Pelodiscus sinensis: one gene and its partners. The main gene of each other region encodes a partner of the protein of the gene in region 3 in a complex. Links are inferred from orthologs where the notes say so. Each region holds a gene or a part of one and is shown on either strand. Other genes may lie near its edges.

What was found.
Region 1: the proteins of TUBGCP4 (region 3) and TUBGCP3 are in contact, whole or in part, in a cryo-EM structure (PDB 7QJ0), measured with the Homo sapiens proteins. The link is inferred for Pelodiscus sinensis from reciprocal best matches to the Homo sapiens genes TUBGCP4 and TUBGCP3. Residues at the interface, in NP_001273343.1 of Homo sapiens: His35, Pro36, Ser37, Glu38, Ser40, Val41, Arg44, His116, Leu117, Ser118, Ser120, His121, Tyr124, Phe125, Asp127, Gln128, Leu131, Pro134, Lys159, His160, Cys162, Gly163, Gly164, Leu165, Pro166, Arg169, Leu630, Ser631; in NP_006313.1 of Homo sapiens: Arg252, Asp253, Tyr256, Gln259, Ile261, Asp262, Lys264, Arg305, Ser312, Leu313, Arg315, Leu319, Gln322, Ser323, Cys325, Ala326, His329, Arg333, Tyr336, Arg337, Ser340, His343, Ser344, His424, Pro425, Tyr593, His595.
Region 2: TUBGCP4 (region 3) and TUBGCP2 share a complex: the UniProt entries of both Homo sapiens proteins name them as parts of the gamma-tubulin ring complex. The link is inferred for Pelodiscus sinensis from reciprocal best matches to the Homo sapiens genes TUBGCP4 and TUBGCP2.

The regions. Positions count from the first base shown.
Region 1 is NC_134711.1:238,155,768-238,163,055, forward strand, and holds the start of TUBGCP3 (gamma-tubulin complex component 3), read left to right. Parts: upstream 1-4,190; 5' UTR 4,191-4,375; coding exon 4,376-4,451; intron 4,452-7,288. UniProt on the Homo sapiens protein: Component of the gamma-tubulin ring complex (gTuRC) which mediates microtubule nucleation.
Region 2 is NC_134718.1:6,882,694-6,890,544, reverse strand, and holds the start of TUBGCP2 (gamma-tubulin complex component 2), read right to left. Parts: upstream 3,054-7,851; 5' UTR 2,856-3,053; intron 2,525-2,855; exon of another isoform or gene 2,422-2,524; intron 2,110-2,421; 5' UTR 2,102-2,109; coding exon 1,952-2,101; intron 653-1,951; coding exon 524-652; intron 1-523. Other genes in the region: ZNF511 (zinc finger protein 511), read left to right, coding at 3,299-3,439, 4,304-4,377, 5,893-6,094. UniProt on the Homo sapiens protein: Component of the gamma-tubulin ring complex (gTuRC) which mediates microtubule nucleation.
Region 3 is NW_027465934.1:452,048-459,186, reverse strand, and holds the start of TUBGCP4 (gamma-tubulin complex component 4), read left to right. Parts: upstream 1-4,126; 5' UTR 4,127-4,499; coding exon 4,500-4,577; intron 4,578-5,172; coding exon 5,173-5,301; intron 5,302-6,751; coding exon 6,752-6,874; intron 6,875-7,139. Other genes in the region: uncharacterized protein LOC142825186, read left to right, coding at 1-585. UniProt on the Homo sapiens protein: Component of the gamma-tubulin ring complex (gTuRC) which mediates microtubule nucleation.

The DNA of each region.
Region 1 (7,288 bases), on a different chromosome or scaffold from region 3:
TTCTGTAGTAGTCAGTTCTAGGCAGTCATTTCTGATTTTCTAGATGTGCAATTAATTGTTCCCTCTTCAGTGGTACTTTCCAGTAGTCCTTATTGAATTTCATCCTATTTACTTCATTTCTCTAGTTTGCCCAAATCATTTTGAATATTAATCTTATCTCCCAAGCAATTTCAGCCTCTCCCAGCTTGATATCATCCACAAACTTTATAACTGTATTCTCCATGCTATTATTTATCTTAAATTATGAAGCTATTGAACAGAACAGGATTCCTTTCAATATGCCATTCCAGTTTGTCTATGTACTACTCTTTGGGAATGGTTTTGCACCCACCTTATGTAAGATAGTATCAAAAGCCTTACTAAAGTCAAGATCTGCCACATCTACTACTTCTCTCCTATGCGCATGGCTTGTTACCCTGTCCAAAAAGCTATTAGGTTGGTTTTATATGATTTGTTCTTGACAAATCCATGTTCATTATTACTTCTCACATTATTATTTTCTAGGTGTTTGCAAATTGATTGTTTTATTATTTGCTCCATTATTTTTCTAGGTACTAAAATTAAGATAACTAGTTGGCACCATATTAGCCCTCTTCCAGTCCTCTGGAATCTTCCTGTCTTCCATGAGTTTTTGAAGATAATTGCTAATGGCTTAGATACCTCCTCAGTCAGTTCCTTGAATATTCTAGGACAGTGAGTGGTTCTCACATTAGTGGTCCACAGCAGCCTTCCAGGTCGTCTGCAGCTCAAACTAAGCCTCCCCTACCCTCAGCAGGGAGCTCACGCTGGTGCTCCAGCCTTGCCTTTCCTCCCCCACGCAGTTGGGGCACCCGCATCATCTTCCTGCTTGGGGGTGCGGGGTGTAGAGAAAGCCCTGAGCCTTACGATGTGATCTGGCTCAGAGGGAAGAAGTGCTTCCCCTTTCCATCTCTCAGCTGGGAGAACAGCAGCATGCGGGTGTGCTGCCTGGAGGCTTTTGCTGCTGCTCCCATTGGCCAGAATCCGGCCAATGGAACAGTGGGGGGAGGTGCCTGGGATTGGCGTGGGGTGCGAAGGCAAGTAAGTGTCCCCCATAACCTCATGCCCAGACCCCCACAGTCCTAGCTCCCTCGCACCCCACCCCACCAAGACTCTGCGCCCTCTCCCCTGGCCAGACACCCTACACCCTGCCAGACACCCTTCCCCCCAAGTCACTCCTGCATCCACCCTTGCTCCTTCACCCTTCCCCTTGGTTGACACCCTACCCCCAGCCTGCTTCTGCACCCTTCCTCCTAGTTAGACACCTAATCTAGCCCACTCCTGCACCTGCCCTTGCTTCTGCACCTTCCCTTCCTCTTGCCACCTCCCTCTGGCCAGACACCCTACTCCCAGCCAGACTTCACCCCCTCACCTCCTTCTGCACCCCACCTCCTGCCCAGATCCTGCACCCCTATCCATCTCTTTGGCAGCTCTGGCCCACTCACTGAAGCCCTCATTTTTGTCCTAACCCCAGAGCTTGGGGGGGGGGGGTCCACAAAGTTCACTAATCCTGGAACTCCAAAAGAATAAATCTGGCCTATGGAAAGCCCTGAACCTCGTAGAATCATAGGTTTGGAAGAGACCTCAGGAGGTCATCAAGTCTAACCCTCTGCCCAAAGCAGGACCAACTCCAAATAAATCATCCCAGCCAGGGCTTTGTCAAGCCAGGAATTAAAAACTTCTTAGGATAGAAATTCCGCTACCTCCCAAGGTAACCCATTCCAGTGCTTTACTACCCTCCTAGTAAAATAGTTTTTTCTAATATCCAATCTAGACCTCCCCCACTGCAACTTGAGACCATTGCTCCTCATTCTGTCATCTGTCACTACTGAGAACAGCCTCTCTCCATCCTCTTTGGAACCCCCCTTCAGGTAGTTAAAGGCTGCTATCAAATCCCCCCTCACTCTTCTCTTTTACAGACTAAATAAGCTCAAATCCCTCAGTCTTTCACTGTAAGTCATATGTTCCAGCCCCCTAATCATTTTCATTGACCTCTGCTGGACTTTCTCCAGTGCATCCATGTACTTTCTGTAACGGGGGCCAAGAATTGGATGCAGTACTCCAGATGTGGCCTCACCAGTGCTGAATAAAGGGGAATAATCATTTCTCTCGGTCTGCTGGCAATGCTCTTCCTAATACATCCTAATATGCCATTAGCCTTCTTGGCTACAAGGGCATACTTTTTTAAAGATGGACACTACATTTGCCTTTTTCCAAACATCCAGGATCTCTCTTTATCTGCATGAGTTTTCAAAGATAATGGCCAAAGGCTCTGCAATGACATTTGCCAATTCCCTCAGTACCTTCAGATACATTAAATCCAGACCCATGGATTTGTGTATGTCTAGCTTTTCTAAATAGTTCTTAATGTGTTCTTTCTCCAGTGAGGGCTGCCTACCTCTTTCCCAAACTGTGTTGCCTAGTGCAGTAGTCTGGGAGCTGACCTTGTCCGTAAAGACAAAGGCAAAAAAAAAAAAAAAAGCATTGAGTACTTCAGCTTTTCCCACATCTGTCACCAGGGACATGTCTAGATTACGTTTTAATTTAGAAAGAGGATATGCAAATCCCCTAACCCTTAAAAAAGGAGGTTTATGCGGTTTTTCAAAAGTGTTTTTTTTAAAGACCCCATGTGCCATGGAATTTGCATATCATCTTTCAAAATTAAAATGAAGTCTATACATGCCCTACGTTACCTCCCTCATTCGGTATGGGTCCCACTCCTTTCTGAACCACCCTCTTATTGCTAATATGTTTGTAGAAAACTTTCTTGTTACCCTTCACATCCCTTGCTAGCTGCAATTCCAGTTGCACTTTGACCTTCATGATTACATCCCTGCATGTTTGAGCAATATATTTACACTCTTCCCTAGTCATCTGCCCAAGTTTCTACTTCATGTAACCTTCCTTTTTGTATTTAAGCTCACCAAGGATTTCACTGCTAAGCCAAGCTGGTCACCTATCATATTTGCTTTTCTTACTGCGCATTGGGATGGTTTATTCCAGTGCTTTCAATAAGGTTTCTTTAAAATACTGCCAGCTCTCCTGGATTCCTTTTCCCTTCATGTTAGCAACATTAAATATGGGGGGGGGGGGGGAGGTTCTATATGTATCCTTACCATGCATGCCCCCTGCTTAGGGCAGGTGGAGAATTCACAGCTCCCCATGGCTGCCCATGGCAGGCTGGGCTGAACTGGAACACCCCCAGCAGCTCCCCACTCACATTGGGCAAGGGGATGCGCCAGCCTGGCCAGCCCAGCTGTTAACTGGTCACATCCCTAGTCTCTGTCTTTTCTACTCAACATCAATATTAAGAAGCGATACCATGTAAACCCTAGCTAGGATGGAGTCCAAACTCCAGAGATTATGGAAGCTGTCATAAGAGGTTGCAAAACTCCATCAGATCCCACATCTAGACCTGAGTGAGTTGATGATAGGCAAGCAGTGTAGACATAGTATCATGGTTTCTTTTGGGCCACAACCTTGTTTGCATTAAAGACAGTTGAAATTTTCTGGTGGAAGATTTTGGTCAGAAAATTCTGATTCCACAAAATAGAAATGTTTCACAGTAGGTGAACTGATAACGAGTGCGTCTGTGTGACTGGAGATTATCGACATGTTTTTTGATGTTTGTTAGAGTAAAATTTATAATTTCAGCTAATGCATTGTGTAATATAACCATTGTACCTCTGAGCTGCAGGGAGCTCTTTGGGTACAGGCCACTTGGAGAAGTTTGAGGTTTTAATTTTTCATCCCAATTTACGGATGGAAACAGAACTCTTGGGAATTTGCAATCTCCTGTGGGCTGGGCAGTCTGTATTTTGGTCAGCTCTCTTTTGCGTCACGACACAATTTGGTGACATCATAGCACGGTGACGTAATTGTGTGATGGAACAGTGACCTCATAGAGCAGGTGTGGTTGTACCGTCCGAAATTTAGCCTGGGTGTCACCACGTGGGAGGAGGATGCGAGTCTGGGGTCCTGTAGCGTCCCCCTCCTCAACTGTCATCGGCACAGAAGGGATGCAGGGGTGCGGGGGGAGCTGGATACTCCTGATTTCTATGCCAGTCCCAGCCGCCTCCTGCAATGGTAACGGGCTCTGCGTGTGGGCGCAGGGTCAGGCTCTGGAGGTTCGAGGGTCAGTTTGTGCCCCGGAACCTTTGCGCTGTGGCTGTGTGAGGAGGGCGGGAGGTGTTCGGCGCTGCGCGCTCCGGGTCGCCCCGCGCACAGGGGCATTGTGGGCGCTTGTTGCCGCCGCTGTTTTCCGCGGGTTCTGTTAAAATGGCGCCGGGAGGCAGCGGCCGTTAGGCGCAGCGCGCGCGGCAGTGGCAGAGGGAGGTTCCCCGCCGCGGGGGTGAGGATGGCGTGTCCGGATCAGAAATCCCCCAACGTTCTGCTGCAGAACCTGTGCTGCCGCATCCTCGGCAAGAACGAAGGTAACAGCCGCCCCCCCCCCCCCCGCAGCGCGCGGCACGGCGCGAGCCCAACGTGCAGCCGCCCGGCGCGGGGTCCCGCGGCTGCACCCAGGGCCCGGCGGTGGCTGCTGCTGCTGCCGGAGTGGCGGGGCCCTGCGCACCCCGAGGCGCGCAGGCTGGCGCGGGCCCTGCCCCGAAGCGGGGTGCGGCTCCTGGCCCGGGGGAGGGGGCAGCCAGGCGAGGGAGAGGAGAGACACCCCTGCCCCATGGGAGCGAGTGAAACTCCTCGGCCCGCTGCTGGGGCAGTGGGGAAAGGGCCCCGCGTCAGCGCCGCTTCCTCTGCTGCCTCCAAGCAGCTGCGGGCAGGGCAGGGCAGAGCCGTTAGCAGCAGCGAAGCACTTCGGGCTCCTCTGCGCTTATCGCACTGGAGCGGTGCCGCCTTGGCACTCGGGCTCTCCTAGCCGGGGTAGCTGCCTTGCCCCCTGAGGCCAAGCCTGCGCTACCCACCGCGCTGGCCATGGGGGAGTGCTCCCATCCCCATACTTATTCCACCTCCACGAGACGTGGAAGCTGCGCGGTGGGGAGTGTCTGCTGCTGACATAAGGGCCATACACAGTGGGACTAGGTCGATGTCATTTATGTCGCTGAGGAAGTCTTTCAGTGGATGTGATATACCTTGACTTTAGCAAAGCTTTTGATACGGTCTCCCACAATATTCTTGCCAGCAAGTTAAGGGCATATGGATTGGATAAATAGACTGTAAGATGGTTAGAAAGCTGGCTAGACTGTTGGGCCCAACGGGTAGTGATCAGCGGTTCCATGTCAGGTTGGCTGCCAGTTTCTAGTGGAGTGCCCCAAGGATCGGTTCTTGGACCGGTTTTGTTCAACATCTTTATTAATGACCTGGATGAGAGGATGGAGTGCACCCTCAGCAAGTTTTCAGATGACACGAAGCTAGGGGGGGAGAGGAAGATACATTGGATGGTAGGGTAGGGATAGGGTCCAGAGTGACCTAGACAAATTGGAGAATTGGGTTTGTTTAGTCTACAGAAGAGAAGAGTGAGGGGGAATTTAATAGCAGCCTTCCAAAGAGGATGGAGAGAGGCTGTTCTCACTAGTGACTGATGGCAGAACAAGGAGCAATGGTCTCAAGTTACAGTGGGGAAGGTCTAGGTTGGATATTAGGAAAAACTATTTCATTAGGAGGGTGGTGAAGCACTGGAATGGGTTACCTGGGGAGGTGGTGGAATCTCCATCCCTAGAGGTTTTTAAGTCTTGGCTTGACAAAGCCCTGGCTGGGTTGATTTAGTTGGGATTGGTCCTGCCTTTGGCAAGGGGCTGGATTTGATGACCACCCGAGGTCTCTTCAAGCTCTATGATTCTGTGATCCCTGGGCGATGTAACTTGCACTGACTTGAGTCATAGTAACAACCAGGACTCTTGTGGCATCTTGAAGACTGAATGGGCTCCTTGTTGCTTAAGCTATACTGTAGATCAGCTAGAGAAGTGTTGTTATATCAATAGGAGAAGGTATCCTATTGACATTAGGAATGATAAAAAGCATGTAATTCATTAATCATATAGTCGACAAAAATGTTTTTGTCTACATGATTAATCGATAAGGGTTAGCATTGCAAGCACTCAGTCTCGGTTTGAGCCATGTACTGGCAACTACCCCTGTTGTGGCTCTGCCCTAGAAGCAGTTTAAGAGCTGGTACACAGGCAATCTGGCCCAGTCCCCGCTTGAGCTGGGTCTCAGCATCAACCCCCCTCTGCGGTTCTAAATTATTATGGGGCTAAGCCAGCCTGCCTGTGTGTCAGCTCTTAAACTGCTTCTAGTGCAGAGCTGCAGCAGGGATAGATGCTGGGACCCGGCACGAGCTGGGATGGCGCAATTGTGTATAGCTGATAGTGTTAACTGATTTAACTGACTATACCGTGGGTTCCCAAACTGGGGGGCATATCAGCAAGTTTTGTTGCTGTTTTTGTTTTTTGGATCCCGTCAGTTCCTTTTTTTTTTTTTTTGCTCAACAAGTTTTACTGGGGGTGGGGGGACATGAGGCTTTCTCAAAAATCAAAAAGGGGGGCATGATGCTGAAAAGTTTGGGAACCACTGGACTATACTATTACATCCCTAGTTGACATAGCACTATCTAGAGCTGGGGTTAGATTAGTATGACTGCATGATGTACTTACAGTGACATGTGTAGCATAGACAAGGATTTGGTTTCATTCTGCTGCTCAGGGCCTGGTGACAGTCACAAAAAGCTGTGGACTGCTGTGTGCACGGCTCTTGCCCTAGGGGTTATCTTGCAAGTGTGTCTCACTTACCTGTTCAGTGATAGTGTTTGCCCTCTTCTCCTGCTTTGTTACCCCCTCCTGTAACTCAACTCTGTCCTGTTGGTAGTCTGTGCTGAGCATGGCAACAGCCAGCTCTGGGCTGGAGCAATGGGCTACCTGCTTGCTGGCTAGACATTGAGCTGGGAGGCTGTGCTCAGTGGAGTTAGGTGCTTCCTTGGACCTTAGGTGTTAAATTTTGAAGTCCTCTGAGTCTTGCTGATTGTTAGGCTACATCTGTCTCCCTTGTTGGTATAACTTATGTCGCCTCCTATGAAAAAGAATACCACTGGTGTGGACAGCTCTCCTGCTGCCATAGCTACTGCTGCTTGTTGGGTTTCATTAAGTCAGTTGGAGAGCCCCTGTTGTCATAGAGTGTGTACACAAGAGATTTTACAGTAGTGCAACTGTGTTGGTATGACTATGCTGTAGGGATGTAATAGTGTAGTTGATTAATTGATAAGCAAAAGTTTATAGGTTAATGCTATAGACTACATGCATTCTCTCTGCCCCCCTTGCCA
Region 2 (7,851 bases), on a different chromosome or scaffold from region 3:
GATATTTTTCCAATTGTATACTTAGTATGCAAAAAAAAAAAAACCCTTAATACGAATGGTTAAAAAAATGCGCTTACCATTACATAATTCAAAATGGCTTGATTTTTCTCTAAGTCAAAATTAAAATTCCTGTTTAGGTACAAAACTTGCTGGAAAAATTCATGAGTAACTGAAAACAGAGGGCTAGAATGAATGCTCTCACATACTCGGGATGTTAGCTTGCTTATTGGTTATTCCTAATGGTTACATACATCCCCCCTTTGCTGCCTCTGTATCTTTTAAGCTGGCTCCCTGCGAGCACCAGTCCCTCATGTGTGTAAACATGTCATCGCTAAAAATTTCAGTGGTTACACATTTACACAAATAAACGTTTGTTAATATCCCTATCACATACTCCACTGTAATCATAACTAGTTGGTTCAGATAGGTTTGTCTGAACAGCTTCTTAAAAGGATGCACTATAATCATTGTTGTTACTTCCCAATATGCATCAGACTGACAAATGCAGAAACAAACATGCTACCTCTTTGTCTTCTGTGAGTTTTGACAGCAAATACACTAACGGATCCAGATTCCTTGTATTTTTAGATTTCAGCTCATCATACTTCTTTAAAAAATCTTCTGGAGTTCGAGAAAATTCTGCTATTTTAACCTGTAAAACATCATAAATAATACAAGTATTTAAACATAAATGTTAGCATTTTAGGAGAAAGTTTCAAATGCACTACTTAGAAGAACAAAGAAAACATCAGATCTGTTATGGTGTTTGTAAAATGGGGCTACTTTTGCATATGCAAAGAGCCATAAAGATGCTGTGCAAAAACCAGTCTATGATCATATAACTAAAGAAACAACGAGTAATCCTGTAGCACCTTAGAGAATAACAAAAATACACTGTATCATGAGCTTTTGAGGGTAAGACCCACTTCATCAGATGAGTTGGAGTGGAAATAAGAGAATCCAAGATGTACACAATAACAAAAAAAAAATCTGTCAATTGTAGGACCTGTGTTAATGAAGCTAATTAAGTGAGCTGGATGTGTCCCATTCATAGTGTTTGATGTGAAAATGTGAATGTTAAAGGCAGAGGAAATTGGCTTTGTAATGTGTTGACCACATTAAGTCTTTATTCAAAGCCAGGTTATGTCAAATTTGTAGGTGAATTCCAACCACCTAGCCCCATCCACAGTGTGATGAGCCCACGAAGGCGGGGATCCAGCAGCCCTCCCCTCCACTGCCCTATCCACTCCCCTTTGTGCAAGGCTGCCCACTCACAGCCCGCCTCTGTTTAATCAGTTAATCGGTTAAATTTAACATTTAATTGGTCAACTAATTAAATAGGATTTTATATTACTAGTTCAATGTCTGCATTTCTTTTCAGGACCTCAACTCTGTGCCTTGGGAGACCAGAAGACCCGGTATGACAAAGCCCTGGCTGGGTTGATTTAGTTGGGATTGGTCTTGCCTAGAGCAGGGGGCTGGACTTGATGACTTTCTGAGGTCCCTTCCAGCTCTATGGGTCTATGATTCTAGTCATGCTGCCAGTCTCTTGGTCTCTCAAGCAAGTATCAAGCTGTCAGTCCTGATGCGTCCTCTCCACTCTACCCCTTCAGAAATGTAGATGAGTGGCTCTGAGTTACTTAGACAGCAAACCTAACATCTCAGCACTTATTAGGGACATAAGGAAGGATAACTCAGAGTCCTGTTCGGGAACTCCTGAGGAGTAGGCATGGTGAGTTTAGGTGTAGGGCAGAAGTAAGGATGTTCTTTGTCCTTCCAAAAACTCAAGTGGTCCCTTTTCTCTTAGTTTCTCTCTTTAACCTTGATGTTGGTATCACTAGAGTCAAAGAATTTGTAAATAATTCCAGAAGATTATCACATACTAATTAAGAAAAAAGTGAATTTCAACCATCACGGCAGCTTGGCAGCGAGTAAACTGAAACTAGCTCACCTTAGCACTGTGTGCAGACACAGTCGTGGTAACATAAGGAGTTCGGTTCTTTTGCAGGAGATCTATGTACACTTCAGCTCCTTCCCCTCCATGAACACGCAGCAGGCTTAACAGCTCGTTGACATCGTGGTGAATGCGGAATTCACTCATGCTTCCACCTAGGGTTACAGATTTCACAGTACATTGAATGCAAAGCACAACCGACGAAACTCAAAGTTAATCAACAAGGGTAAAAAAATTCAAAGTTGCCGAAGTGGCCTCAGAGTCCAAGTCTCATTTTCAAAAGCGACTTTGGCACGTCGCAGCGTAAACCTCACTAAAAGTCAATGTCATTTAGACTCGTCAGTGCCGAAATCGTTTTTTGTAATTGGGACTCGGGGCTTGTTTAGACTAAGGATGCAAAACCCACCAGTGAGGCGAGTGCTCCGGCCCCGCGGCTAGTGAACGGTGACCGGTAAGGTGTTGCTTACCGTTTGGCCACGCCGATCCCTAGTTTACACATGGGTACCGCTCCATGGCAGCGCTTAAGCAGCCCGAGGTGGGCAGGAGAAGCTCTCCCCCTCACCGGTGCGTACGCGGGGTCACTCCCGGGGGGGGGGCTTATTGACACGCTGCAGGGGCATCGCTCGCCGCGCAGGAGACCCTGCATTCATCACTCAAAGGCCACCCCAGAGCCGGCTCCCCCACTCCCCGCCCCCCTAGGCGCAGGCAGACACAGCCCCATGGGGCACCGCTGTGTGTGCCTGGCGCTGGCCCCCGCCCCATCGATCCCGGGGGCCCTGCTCCGCCTCCCTGACCTGTTCCAGCCCCTCGCCCCGCAGTTCGTGAGGACGGGCCTGCGGGGCGACAGCGGGTCCGCAGCCCCGGCGAGGGAGAGGGCCCCGCCCGGTCGGGAAGCGGGTACCTTGTGCCGGGGCAGCTCCCGCCGGGTCTGGGGGGACGGGGCGGCGCGCGCGGAGCGGGCCCCCTCAGTGGCAGCGCGCGCCCAGCGCGGGAGGATCGGGGGGCGGGGCTACGGAGGGAATCACGCCGCAGCCGTTAACCGTTAGCCGGGGCCTCGCAAGCGGCGCGCGGGAGTGGGGGGGGGGGTGGAGGAAGAAGCGCGCAGACTCCGATTGGCTGCCGCAGAGACGGCAGCCTCCCTGGAACCAATCAGAAACCCGCGTGGGGACCTGCCCTGCTAAGGCACCGCCCCCTTTTCGCTGCCCGTCTCACAGGAGAGCCCCCGCATCGCCGCTACTAGACCCGAAGCGCTCCGAGGGGACCCGGAAGTGCCAGCTGACCCGGAAGTGATCTGATCCCCCGGAAAGATGGCGTCCCGCTGAGCGCGCCCGGCGCTTGGGCAGGATGCTGCTGCCGCCCGGGCTCAGCCTCTCGCTGCAGGCGGAGCGGCCCCTGCTGCCCGTCCGGCCCCGCTCGCCGCCGCGGGCCCCCTTCTGCTTCTCGGCCCGCCGCCTCCGCTTCCATCGCCAGCACGAGTTCTTCGAGGTGAGGGACCCGGCTGCCCTCGCGCGGCCTCCCGGGCAGCCGGAGCGGGCGTGTGCCCCGTGGCCGCAGCCCCTCGGGGGGGCCCTGCCCCAAAGCTACAGCCCCCTTCCGCTGGCGCCGAGTCTCCTGAGGCGCCGTGGTCTCGCCGGCCCCCAGCGAGGCTGAGAGTCCCTGGGCCAGGGCTACTCAACTTTGCAAGCCCGGGGGCCACAGTGATACTCACGTGCCCCGGGCCGCAGCTAAAGTGTGGTTGCTTATCATGCAAATCTATGCAAATAGCTGCTTTCACACTGGCGGGCATGAGTACAGAGATTAAGGCAAGACAACACAACACGCAGGCCCCATTTAAGTCAGTTTCGTTGCTATGAATAAAATGCAATATTTACCTGGTTTCCACCCATATAGCAGCACTTTTAATGAGCAATGACAGTCCAGGAATTGAACTACTAAAACTCAGATCAACAGAAGACCATTATATTGAGCACTTTTTTGTTTTGGCTCGTGCCTGCAGGCCACATGTTGAGCCCCATGTAAATCCAAACTGCACCATGGTTCACGGGCCATGTGTTGAGTAGCCCTGCTCTAGAATTATGTCCCCAGGAGTTAGCAACAAAGGGCTTATGATAAGCAATGGATAGCAATAGTCAAGGACACCCAGTTGCGCTTTTATTCATGCTCTATAAACTGGGCTCAGCAAAGTTAGATCAACATGCCATTCTTGATACAAAGTCGAGTTGGTAGTAACATGTATTCTGTATCTTAACTCTGTTTTAACAGTTTCTTGTTGGACAATAAAGATAATTTCCCATTTACTTTTTGAACATGCGGTGCTGTAACATGCCTACAATCACTACTCTTTTTCAGGATGGAGACATTCATAGACACTTGTATCTCCAGGATATCCTAACAAATGTTACAGAAGTGACCGAAAGATCCAAGTAAGTGGTGCTGTTCTTCTAAATTCTATTGTGGGTCCGGTTAACAAAAATGCATGTGATTTTTTTTTTTATATTATAAAATATATACACACACACACACACACACTCTACCCATAGCTACCAGTTTGTGGTCCATGCTGTTGGTGGTGTATACATCTGGCTCAAATTGTATTAAGACTGAGCAAATATTGAATAACAACTGTGGAGTGCTTTGAATTATTTCTGCTACCAGATCAAATTCAGCTGTTTTCCTTTTGTTGTTTCTTGACAAAAAGAGGTGTTTTGATGGATGGTACAGTTTTGTTGGTTGGTTGCATCTCCATGTGAGCTTTCACTCGTGTTTCCTTCAGAGGACTATTGCTCTTTACACCTGTCCAAAAGCATCAGTATAAGTCATTGGAGCTGAGTCTGATCTGTCTGAGATCAAGTCTATGCTACGGGGTTAAATCAAACTAAGTTACACAATTCCAGCTACAAGAATAATGGAGACAAAGGTTAGGCTAACTTGTTGCAGTACTGGAATTTTCAAAGTAGCATCATGCTGAGTTGATGGGGGCAACTCTCGCATCGACTTTCCTTATGCTTCTCATTCCTATGGAGTACTGGAGTCAATAGGTGAGAGATCTATGGCTGATTTACTGGGTCATCCCTAAATCTGCTAAATAGACCCCCAGTGGATCAGTTGCTGCAGTGGTGAGCTCCTGAAAGTTGAGATAAGACCTAAATTATAGAGAAACTGGACAGAGATATCTGCAATCTCCTTTATTTTATTTTTTGCTTTAATCATGGAGATGGAGAAGAAATAGAATAATTAGGAAGACATCATAAAGTGCCTTATAAGTGGATAATGTGATAGTTATTGAAAGAGATTCAGGTTTTGAGGGACCGTCTGGTTTAAAATGAAATGTTGGTTATCTCTTTGCCAGATCTGGAGAAATCATCCCTTCAGAAAATATGGGTATAAATGGGATTTGCATTCCTGAAGGTACCTGAGCATTTAAGTTTCAGTCAGAAGATCTGAGCAAATTATATGATGGCTTTTTACTTCAGTCTGTTAAAAAAGAATTTGAGTTTAGGGGAAAATATGCAGTTGTTCAGTTAGGGAGAATAACCTGGTCAAAATGAACACATTGGCCAAGATCTCCACCTAGTTTCAAAATGTTCAGTAATCATCCCAGAAAAAACTTGACGCTACCTAGAGAACTAATTGAAAATGAAGATAGCTCTTTCATAGGGATCTGCTGGGATTTTGAAATATAGCAGCTCATCACCTTTTATTGCTGCTTAGTTTTGATTCCACTGATTCTAGAGGCTGAGAGTTATGTAAAAGGAGTTTGAGCCACAAATACGAGTTCCTAATTACCTCACAAGTTAATGCTATTGTCTCCAGTTTAATAATGAAAACTACCAGAATGTAAAGATTTTATTTCGATTTGTGCAGAGGCATTGATCCATATGCTCTGTGTGGTGTTGACATAACCTAAACATACACATATTTTCATCACTTCTTTCTAGGGTGTCTGAATTCAGTTGTCATATTGTTGGGTGCTGTCAAGTGTTTGATACCTTAGAGGGTTATGAACATCACTACAACACACTACACAGAAACATGTGTTCTTTCTGCAAACGTTCTTTCCCCTCTGGGCATCTGTTGGATACTCACATCCTGGAGTGGCATGACTCTCTATTCCAGATAATGGCAGAGAAACAAAATATGGTGAGTTGCAAAGATTACATTGTGTATCCAGCATGTGAAAACTTTGTATAAAAAATCCTCCAAAACTGTGTTTGGCTTTCCAAAATGTCTTTTTTTCTAAGTAGTGTCATTTTGGTAACAGCAGCATATTTGTATTCAGAAGCTTATATCTTTCTAGGAGAACTATTCTTCTGTGCCTTGACATCTCTGTTTTGTTTCAGAAGTTCTAACTTGGCATGTGTGGCACACCTTTGGCAATGGGGAATGACTGCTTTTGCAACAAATCTTAATAAAAAGTAAAGTGATTTTGCACTCAGAGATACCCTTTTCAGCGTCTGTTTATCCAGATGCAATCATGGATGTGATCAAATTCTTCCCTTAAAAGAAATAACTTCAAATACCTCCTAATGGAACATTAGGGCTGACAGTTTCTCTGCACATATTCAGAGGTGTGTCACTGCATATGCTCAGAGGCATGATTTCTTACAGACATAAATCATCCCAGCTGATAGGTGGGGTAAAAAGAGATGTTCTAGATGGTAGTCAGTCTTCTGCCAATCCTGTGCCTGTTAAAGTCAGTAGGCATTTTGACGGTGATTTCACTGAGACAGGAGCAGGCCCATACAGTTCAACAGAATATACCATCTAATGTCCTGATTTTTGCAAAGACTCGAGCACATGTTTAACTTTTCTTCACACAGTGAATTCTGTGGGACAACTCAGTGCATAAAGTTAAGGACGTGCACAAGTGTTACAGGATTGGGGCCTCTCTTCCTTCTCGGCTCTTGAGATGAAACATTTCTCACTTAACTGAATAATCTTAACTGAGTCATCATCATGTACCCAAGCTTAACTAAATCATTGTGTCCTTTCTGTCATGACCATCATTCTCTCTTGGAGCATCTCGTGCAGAATTAGACGGTCAGTTCTATGGGGCAGTGATCGTGCTCTTCTATTTATTCTCTAAAATACTTTGAAAGCTTTAGGATGCTATAAAAACAAGAATCACTAGGACATGGCCTACTTTTGGATGATGGAGGTGCTGAAGTAACTTTATGGCATTTCTACGTTGGCAAATAGAGCCTTTATTTATAGACTGAGTACAGGACACATGTTGATTCATGACAAAAGGAAATCAGTATCATTTTTTGCAGTCTCTAATGCCTTCTATCCAAGTATCTCTAAGTACTTCATGTGCTTTATGGCTCATAATGTCCAGTGATGTAACAATGTATTATTCTTGTTTTGCTAATAGGGCAACTGTGGCTCAGGGAGAAGAAGAGACTTTCCCATAGTCACACACAAAGCCAGGAGTAGAACCCCAATTTCCTGCCCGTAGGACTAGCCCTCCTTTCTGCTTTGCTTATTGTAAAAACAAGAATAAGTGGATAGACAACAGTGTGTAAGTCTGACTTGAGCTAACATCTCCCTAGGATGATAGTAGAGACAGGGAAAAAACCTGGGAAATGGGTAAGGAGATGACTTTTCCATCCTGCAGAAACAAAATCTGTAGAACTCAATAGCTTGTGATTGGACCAAATCACCTTTCAGAAGGACTTTCAGTTGATGATGATGATGATGATGATACATCTTTAGACCTGTGTATCAATATGGAAATGCCAGGTAAACACCTTGCCTTGTGTGGGAGAAATTCTGTGAGGATAGTGGATGTAAAGGGGTAACTGGTTAGCCGGTAATCATTGCCTTACTAGCATGCTTTCCAGGGTAACTGGAGCAGCCCTGCTGGAGCAGTCCCCTGCCTGTGGCGTGGCACGGGT
Region 3 (7,139 bases):
GAGATCCATTTCCTGGACACCACAGTACAAATCAACAATGGAAAATTAGACACCACCCTCTACAGAAAACCCACTGACTCATACAGTTACCTACATGCTTCCAGCTCCCATCCAGCACACACCATACGATCCATCATCTATAGCCAAGCCCTTCGATACAACCGCATCTGCTCAAATTCCACAGACAGAGGCCAGAAACTTCAGGATCTCTACCAAGCATTTATAAACCTCAACTACCCACCTGGAGAAATAAAAAAGCAAATTGAAAGAGCCAAACGAATACCTAGAAACCATCTACTACAAGACAGACCCAAGAAAACCAACAATAGAACACCACTTGTCATCACCTACAGCTCCCAACTTATACCTGTCCAACACATTATCAATAGATTACAGCCTATACTGGAACAGGACACTAAACTCCAAGAAGCTCTGGGAGACAGACCCATAGTCTCCTATAGACAACCACCTAATCTCAAGATGATTCTTACCAACAACCACAGGACATACCACACTAATACCAACCCTGGTACTTTCCCTTGCAACAAAGGGAAAGTTTGTTTGTCCACATATTCACTCTGCTGACACCATTATTGGGCCTAACCAAGTGAGTTACAAGATCAAGAATACATATTCCTGCGCCTCCAGAAATATAATCTATGCTATCATGTGCCGAAAGTGTCCGTCTGCTATGTACATTGGACAAACGTCTCAGACACTTCGCCAAAGAATCAATGCCCACAAAACAGACATTAGACAGGATCACAAAGAAAAAACAGTTGCTTGTCATTTCAACCAGAAAGGACACAGTCTCAATGACCTGCTGACCTGCATCCTACTTCAGAAGACATTCAAATCTGCACTTGAAAGGGAATCCTCTGAACTGGCATTCATGCTAAAATTCGACACTCTCCGCACCGGACTTCACAAAGACCCCGGCTATCTTACACATTACAAAGACAGCTTCCCCAATTATCACCTCTAATTCTATTAACTCACAGACATTTCCCCTTCCCCACCTCTAATATCATTAACTCACTGGCATTCACCTTCCTTTCCCCCCCCCCCAAATCCCCCTTCTGTTCTGTAATGTGATTTGTCCTTTTCATGTGTGTTCATTTTTTTAAAATTGTATCCTTTGGTATATATGGTTGTGACTATTTTCTTCCACTATTTGATCTGAGGAAGTGGGTCTGGCCCACGAAAGCTCATCATCTAATAAACCATCTTGTTAGTCTTTAAAGTGCTACATAGTCCTGTATTTTGTTTCAGCTACAGCTAATTAGTTTGCATCCTCTTCCTGATTGGATGCTCCCTTTCAGTTCCTTTCTATACCATACTAGCACTGCTCCCTTTTTGGGGCAGGGTGTGGTAGGCTTCAGCAGGGGACCTCAGGGTCTGATACATCCAGTCACATTCAACATTCATGATTTTATAAACCTTTCTCATATCCCCTCTTAGTTGTCTCTTTTCTAAGCTGAACAGCTCTAAACCTTTTAGCCTCTTTTTATGTGGAAGCTGTTCCAAACCTTTGATCGTTTTTGTTGCCCTTCTCTAAATCTTTTCCAGTTCCACTATATTTTTTTCAGATAGAACCACCAGAAATGAACCCAATACGCAAGAAATAAATACACTATTGACTTATATAGTGGCATTATATTTTCTGTCTTATTTTCTATCCTTTTCCTCACAGTTCCTACCATGCTGTTAGCCTTTTTGATCACTGGAGCACACTGAGCTGTTTTCTCTTCAGTGACTCTTTTTTGCAAACCCTGATTCCAATTAAGAAAACTGAAAAGACTTAAAACATCAGAATAAGATGATAGCAAATAATTGTCTTTGCACAGAAAACTGTTGATAAACAAAAAGTTGGTCCAGTAAGTGTCCAAGATAACAGAATGGGACTGTATGCCCCAAAGCTGAAGGAGCAGTCTGAGTTTAGGACTAATGTGTTCTTTCTGGTAAAATCTCATTCACCCATAAAATAGAAAATATACTTCTATATTGTGATTCTTTCTAAAATGAACATTTCCTGCCCAATGAGCCTCTATATTTGTGTCAATTAATTGCATGTTTGATATTCAGTGGACTGTCACAATGCATTACAAATCTTAACAGTAATACTCAGTGGGATGCTAGACAACACTTGAAACTTGGATGTAGGCTAGGGTTGTGAAACCTTACAATACACCAAGCAGCAATGGATTTGTAAATCTCAATACTCAGTGTTTGTTTAATCAGATTAATAAGAAAAAAAAGTCTACTGACAGAGAAACAACCCAAACCAAATGAGGAAAAAAAATTACCTGTTAGCTGTTTGGTAGTCAGTTCAGGTCTTAAATTAACTTCAAGTTCCCATGAAAATCATACACATCTTGAGAAAATGAGTGTTGAATCTGAAGAGAGGAAAAACTCAGAGGTAGCATCTTGCTAACTTGTCTTTAAGACAAGTGACTTCTTTCCTGGTACCGACAATAAATGTCTATACATGAAAAATAGTTACTCCCAGCTCTGTAAAACCATCTTCTCCGTCTCCGTGGTTTTGGCTGTAAGCTCTTAGGGAGCAGAGACTGACTTTTATGTAAAATACAGTACAGAGCACACTGCTGGCATTAAATACTTTACTGAAGTTACAGTGTTGTCTTGTAAATGAATTCAGCTAGTAACAGGGTGCGTCTAAACTGGCAAGATTTTGCGCAAAATCTTGCTGCCTGTCTACACTGGCCACGAGTATTTGCGCAAGAACAATGACTTTGTACTGTACCAAATCAGTGGTTCTTGCACAAATACTTTGACGCTCCCGCTCAGGGATAAGCCCTTTTGCACAAGTATTCTTGCGCAAGAGGGCCAGTGTAGACAGGCAAGTTAATTTCTTGCGCAAGAAAGCCCGATGGCTAAAATGGCCATCAGAGCTTTCTTGCGCAAGAGAGCGTCTACACTGGCCCGGATGCTTTTGCGCAAACGCACCTGTGCCAGTGTAGACGCTCTCTTGCGCACATACTTTTAATGTAAAAACTTTTCTGTTAAAAGTATTTGCGCAAAATCCTGCCAGTCTAGAGGCAGCCACAGTGCGTAATGGCAATATTCCAGTTCCTAGGCAGAGACAATTCCCTCAAAACTCCACTCCCTGAGCCTCGCTTCTTGGGTAGAAAAGTGCAGCCCCAGACACTTCCGAAGAGCAGCGCTGCACCGAGCTTCAGCACAAAGACTCCACAGCGGCCCCGCCTCAGGGCAGCGCTGGGCGAGTCTCAGCTCTGCCTCTCGTGCTTACAAATCGCCCCGCCCGCGGAACAGCGCTGCCCCAGGGCCCTTCGGGGGGGGGGGGGATCGCTCCGCGCTCGAGCACTGGCCGGTAACCAGACCCGGGGCCCGCTTCAATCTCTGAGGGGCCGTTTCGGGGCCCGCGCTCAGTCTGTTGGGCGGGGCGGGGCGGGGCCAGGCGAGGTCTGGCTCGGGGCGGGGCCAGGCGAGGTCTGGCTCGGGGCGGGGGCGGGGCCAGGCGAGGTCTGGCTCGGGGCGGGGCCAGGCGAGGTCTGGCTCGGGGCGGGGGCGGGGCCAGGCGAGGTCTGGGTCGGGGCCGGGCGGGGGCGGGGCCAGGCGAGGTCTGGGTCGGGGCCGGGCGGGGCGGGGGCGGGGCCAGGCGAGGTCTGGCTCGGGGCGGGGCGGGGCCAGGCGAGGTCTGGCTCGGGGCGGGGGCGGGGCCAGGCGAGGTCTGGGTCGGGGCCGGGCGGGGCCAGGCGAGGTCTGGCTCGGGGCCGGGGCGGGGCCAGGCGAGGTCTGGGTCGGGGCCGGGCGGGGCGGGGGCGGGGCCAGGCGAGGTCTGGCTCGGGGCGGGGCGGGGCCAGGCGAGGTCTGGCTCGGGGCGGGGGCGGGGCCAGGCGAGGTCTGGCTCGGGGCCGGGCGGGGCGGGGGCGGGGCCAGGCGAGGTCTGGGTCGGGGCCGGGCGGGGCGGGGGCGGGGCCAGGCGAGGTCTGGCTCGGGGCCGGGGCGGAGCCAGGCGAGGTCTGGCTCGGGGCGGGGCGGGGCCAGGCGAGGTCTGGCTCGGGGCCGGGCGGGGGCGGGGCCGGGCGAGGTCTGGCTCGGGGCCGGGGCCAGGCGAGGTCTGGCTCGGGGCGGGGCGGGGCCAGGCGAGGTCTGGCTCGGGGCGGGGTCTGGCTCCGGGCGGGGCGGGGCGGGGCCGCGGGCCCTTTGCGAAGCGGGAACCGAGGCCGCTCCGAGCGAAAGAAAGAGACGGTCCTCGCGCGGCGCAGGGCAGGCGGGGCGCTGCCCCCGGGACGAGAGACCGGGCCCGGGCCGGGGGGCTGCAGAGCACGAGCTGGGCAGGCGACCGGCCCGAGAGCGCCCCCGCACGCCTGGGGCCTCGCTCCCGTCGGGCTGTGCGAGGAGCGGGACTACAGGTCCCAGGGGCCTTTGCGGGAGCAGCCGCTCCCGTCGGGCTGTGCGAGGAGCGGGACTACAGGTCCCAGGGGCCTTTGCGGGAGCCCGCTCCTAGCTGCAGGATGATTCACGAGCTGCTCCTGGCGCTGAGCGGGTACCCCGGGGCTGCCTTCACCTGGAGCAAGAGGAGCGGCCTGCAGGTACGGCTCCCCCCTTCTCCCTGCAGGGGCGGCCCCCCTCTCCCTCCTCTCCCCCTGCAGGGGCGGCCCCCCCTCTCCCTCCTCCTCCGCCCCCCCCCCCTGCAGGGGCGGCCCCCCCCTCTCCCCCCCTGCAGGGGCCCCCCCCCTCCCCCCCTGCAGGGGCGGCCCCCCCTCTCCCCCCCTGCAGGGGCCCCCCCCTCCCCCCCTGCAGGGGCGGCCCCCCCTCTCCCTCCTCCTCCGCCCCTCCCCCTGCAGGGGCGGCCCCCCCCCCTCCCCCCCTGCAGGGACGGCCCCCCCTCTCCCTCCTCCTCCGCCCTCCCCCCCTGCAGGGGCGGCCCCCCCTCTCCCCCCCTGCAGGGGCCCCCCCCCTCCCCCCCTGCAGGGGCGGCCCCCCCTCTCCCTCCTCCTCCGCCCCTCCCCCTGCAGGGGCGGCCCCCCCTCCCCCCTCCTCCCCCCCTGCAGGGGCGGCCCCCCCTCTCCCTCCTCCTCCGCCCCTCCCCCTGCAGGGGCGGCCCCCCCTCCCTCCTCCCTCCCCCCGCAGGTGCGGTCCCCCCCTCCCGCCGGCCCCGCGCTCACCCGGCCCCGCTCCCCGCAGGTGTCCCAGGAGCTACCGTTCCTGCACCCCAGCGAGAGCAGTGTTCTGAGCCGCCTCTGCCGCCTGGGCACCGACTACATCCGCTTCACCGAGTTCATCGAGCAGTACACGGGCCACGTGCAGCAGCAGGTGGGCCGGGGGGCTGCCGGCGGGGCCGGGCCAGCGCTACGCTTCGTGAGCGGCTCTTGCCCAGAGGCGCCCGGCGCAGGCCCCTTCAGCGATGCAGTGACAGCGGTTTGCGGGGGCGGTGCACAGCCCCATTCCACCGTGGCTGCAGCAAGATCTGGCGGGAGAAAGCAGGGCTGTGAGAGGTCCCTTGGGTCACTGTCAGCATGGTCCTCAGCCGGCTGGAGCAGCTCCCTGTCGGCTAGAGGTTGGGGGATGCGCCAGCCCCACAAGGGACCCACCACTCACAGAGGCTGCTCTTTGGGAAGAAAAAAAAAGTGCAGTTTTTTTTTGAAAAAGCGCACTCACATGAGTGCAAATGAACTGCAAAATTTGCAAATCCGCATTTCATTTGAATTTTTTATCTCCTTCATTTGCATTTCTCTTTCGAGAGAGGAATACAGTCTAAACGAACCCCAGGACTTTAAAAGTGTTCAAAAAGAGTTAGATTGATTCATGGAGGTTAGGTCTGTCAATGCTTATTAGCCGGGATGGGTGAGAATGGTGTCCCTAACCTCTGTTTGTCAGAGTCTAGGAATTGGCGACAGAGGAAGGATCACTTGATGATTTTGTTCTGTTTGTTCCCTCTGGGGCACCTGAAGGCCATTGTTGGCGGACAGGATTCTGAGCTAGATGGACCTTTGGTCTGTCTGACCCAGGCTGGTCATTCTTATGTTCTTAGGGATGTCTGTAAAATGGATTAAGATACATTTGTGAACAGTTCACTTCAGCACAATGGAACAGTGAAATTTACAAATGGCCACTGTATTATGCAGTCTTCTATCTCAAGAGTTCCTTATTTGTATATCCAAAGGGACTGAATACAATACTGCTCCATCTTTGACAGCTGACTCATGTCTGATTAACAGTTGATTTTAATGGTACCTTCAGTGAAGGCTAAAACTATAAGGCTACGTCTAGACTGGCATGATTTTCTGGAAATGCTTTTAACGGAAAAGTTTTCCGTTAAAAGCATTTTTGGAACAGAGCGTCTAGATTGGCATGGACGCTTTTCTGCAAAAGCACTTTTTGCAGAAAAGTGTCCATGCCAATCTAGACGCTCTTTTCCGCAAAAAAGCCCCTATCGCCGTTAATGGGTGATGCTTACTGGATAACAGTTAACTGTTACTCAGGAGCAGGCCCCATGGCTGCCCGCTCATATGAGCTGCCAGCCCCATGTAAGGCTGCTGATTCCCAGCCCAGCACAGGGTGCTCCAGCCCACCCGTGTTTACTCAGTTAAGTTTAACCGGTTAACATTTAACCAGTTAACTAATTTAAACAGGATTTTACATCCCTAGCTGAAGACTGAAATTAATAGAAGGTAAGTTCCTAAATATCTCAGGTATCTGGGCCACAGTCCCCAGTTCACTCACCAATGTCCTACGGCTAATGCAAAACTATTTGATTTTTTAGGACCATCATCCTTCCCAGCAGAATCTATGTGGATTACATGGGATTTATTTGCGGGCCTTCTGTACAGGGCTCGATTCAGTGCTGCAGCCCTATCGACAGGCGTTGCTTGACCTGGAGCAGGAGGTAAGGGAGAGAACTGGAAGAACTTGTTCAGTGTTATGAGCTGAAATACCATGCAGTGGAAGCTTGTCTCCAATAACAAATAAGCTAACAAGAAGCAGACGATGGGATGGAATCTTTGATTTCCACTGCGGATATTTTCTAAATTGCTGCTGTGAAGTTCCATTATAACCCACTGGTCAGTGTGTTACATGTCCATTCTTTGCTCCTTCACCCCCTCCCTCCACATGTCTGACCTACAGAGAGTGAAAATGTCTCAGTCCTCAGA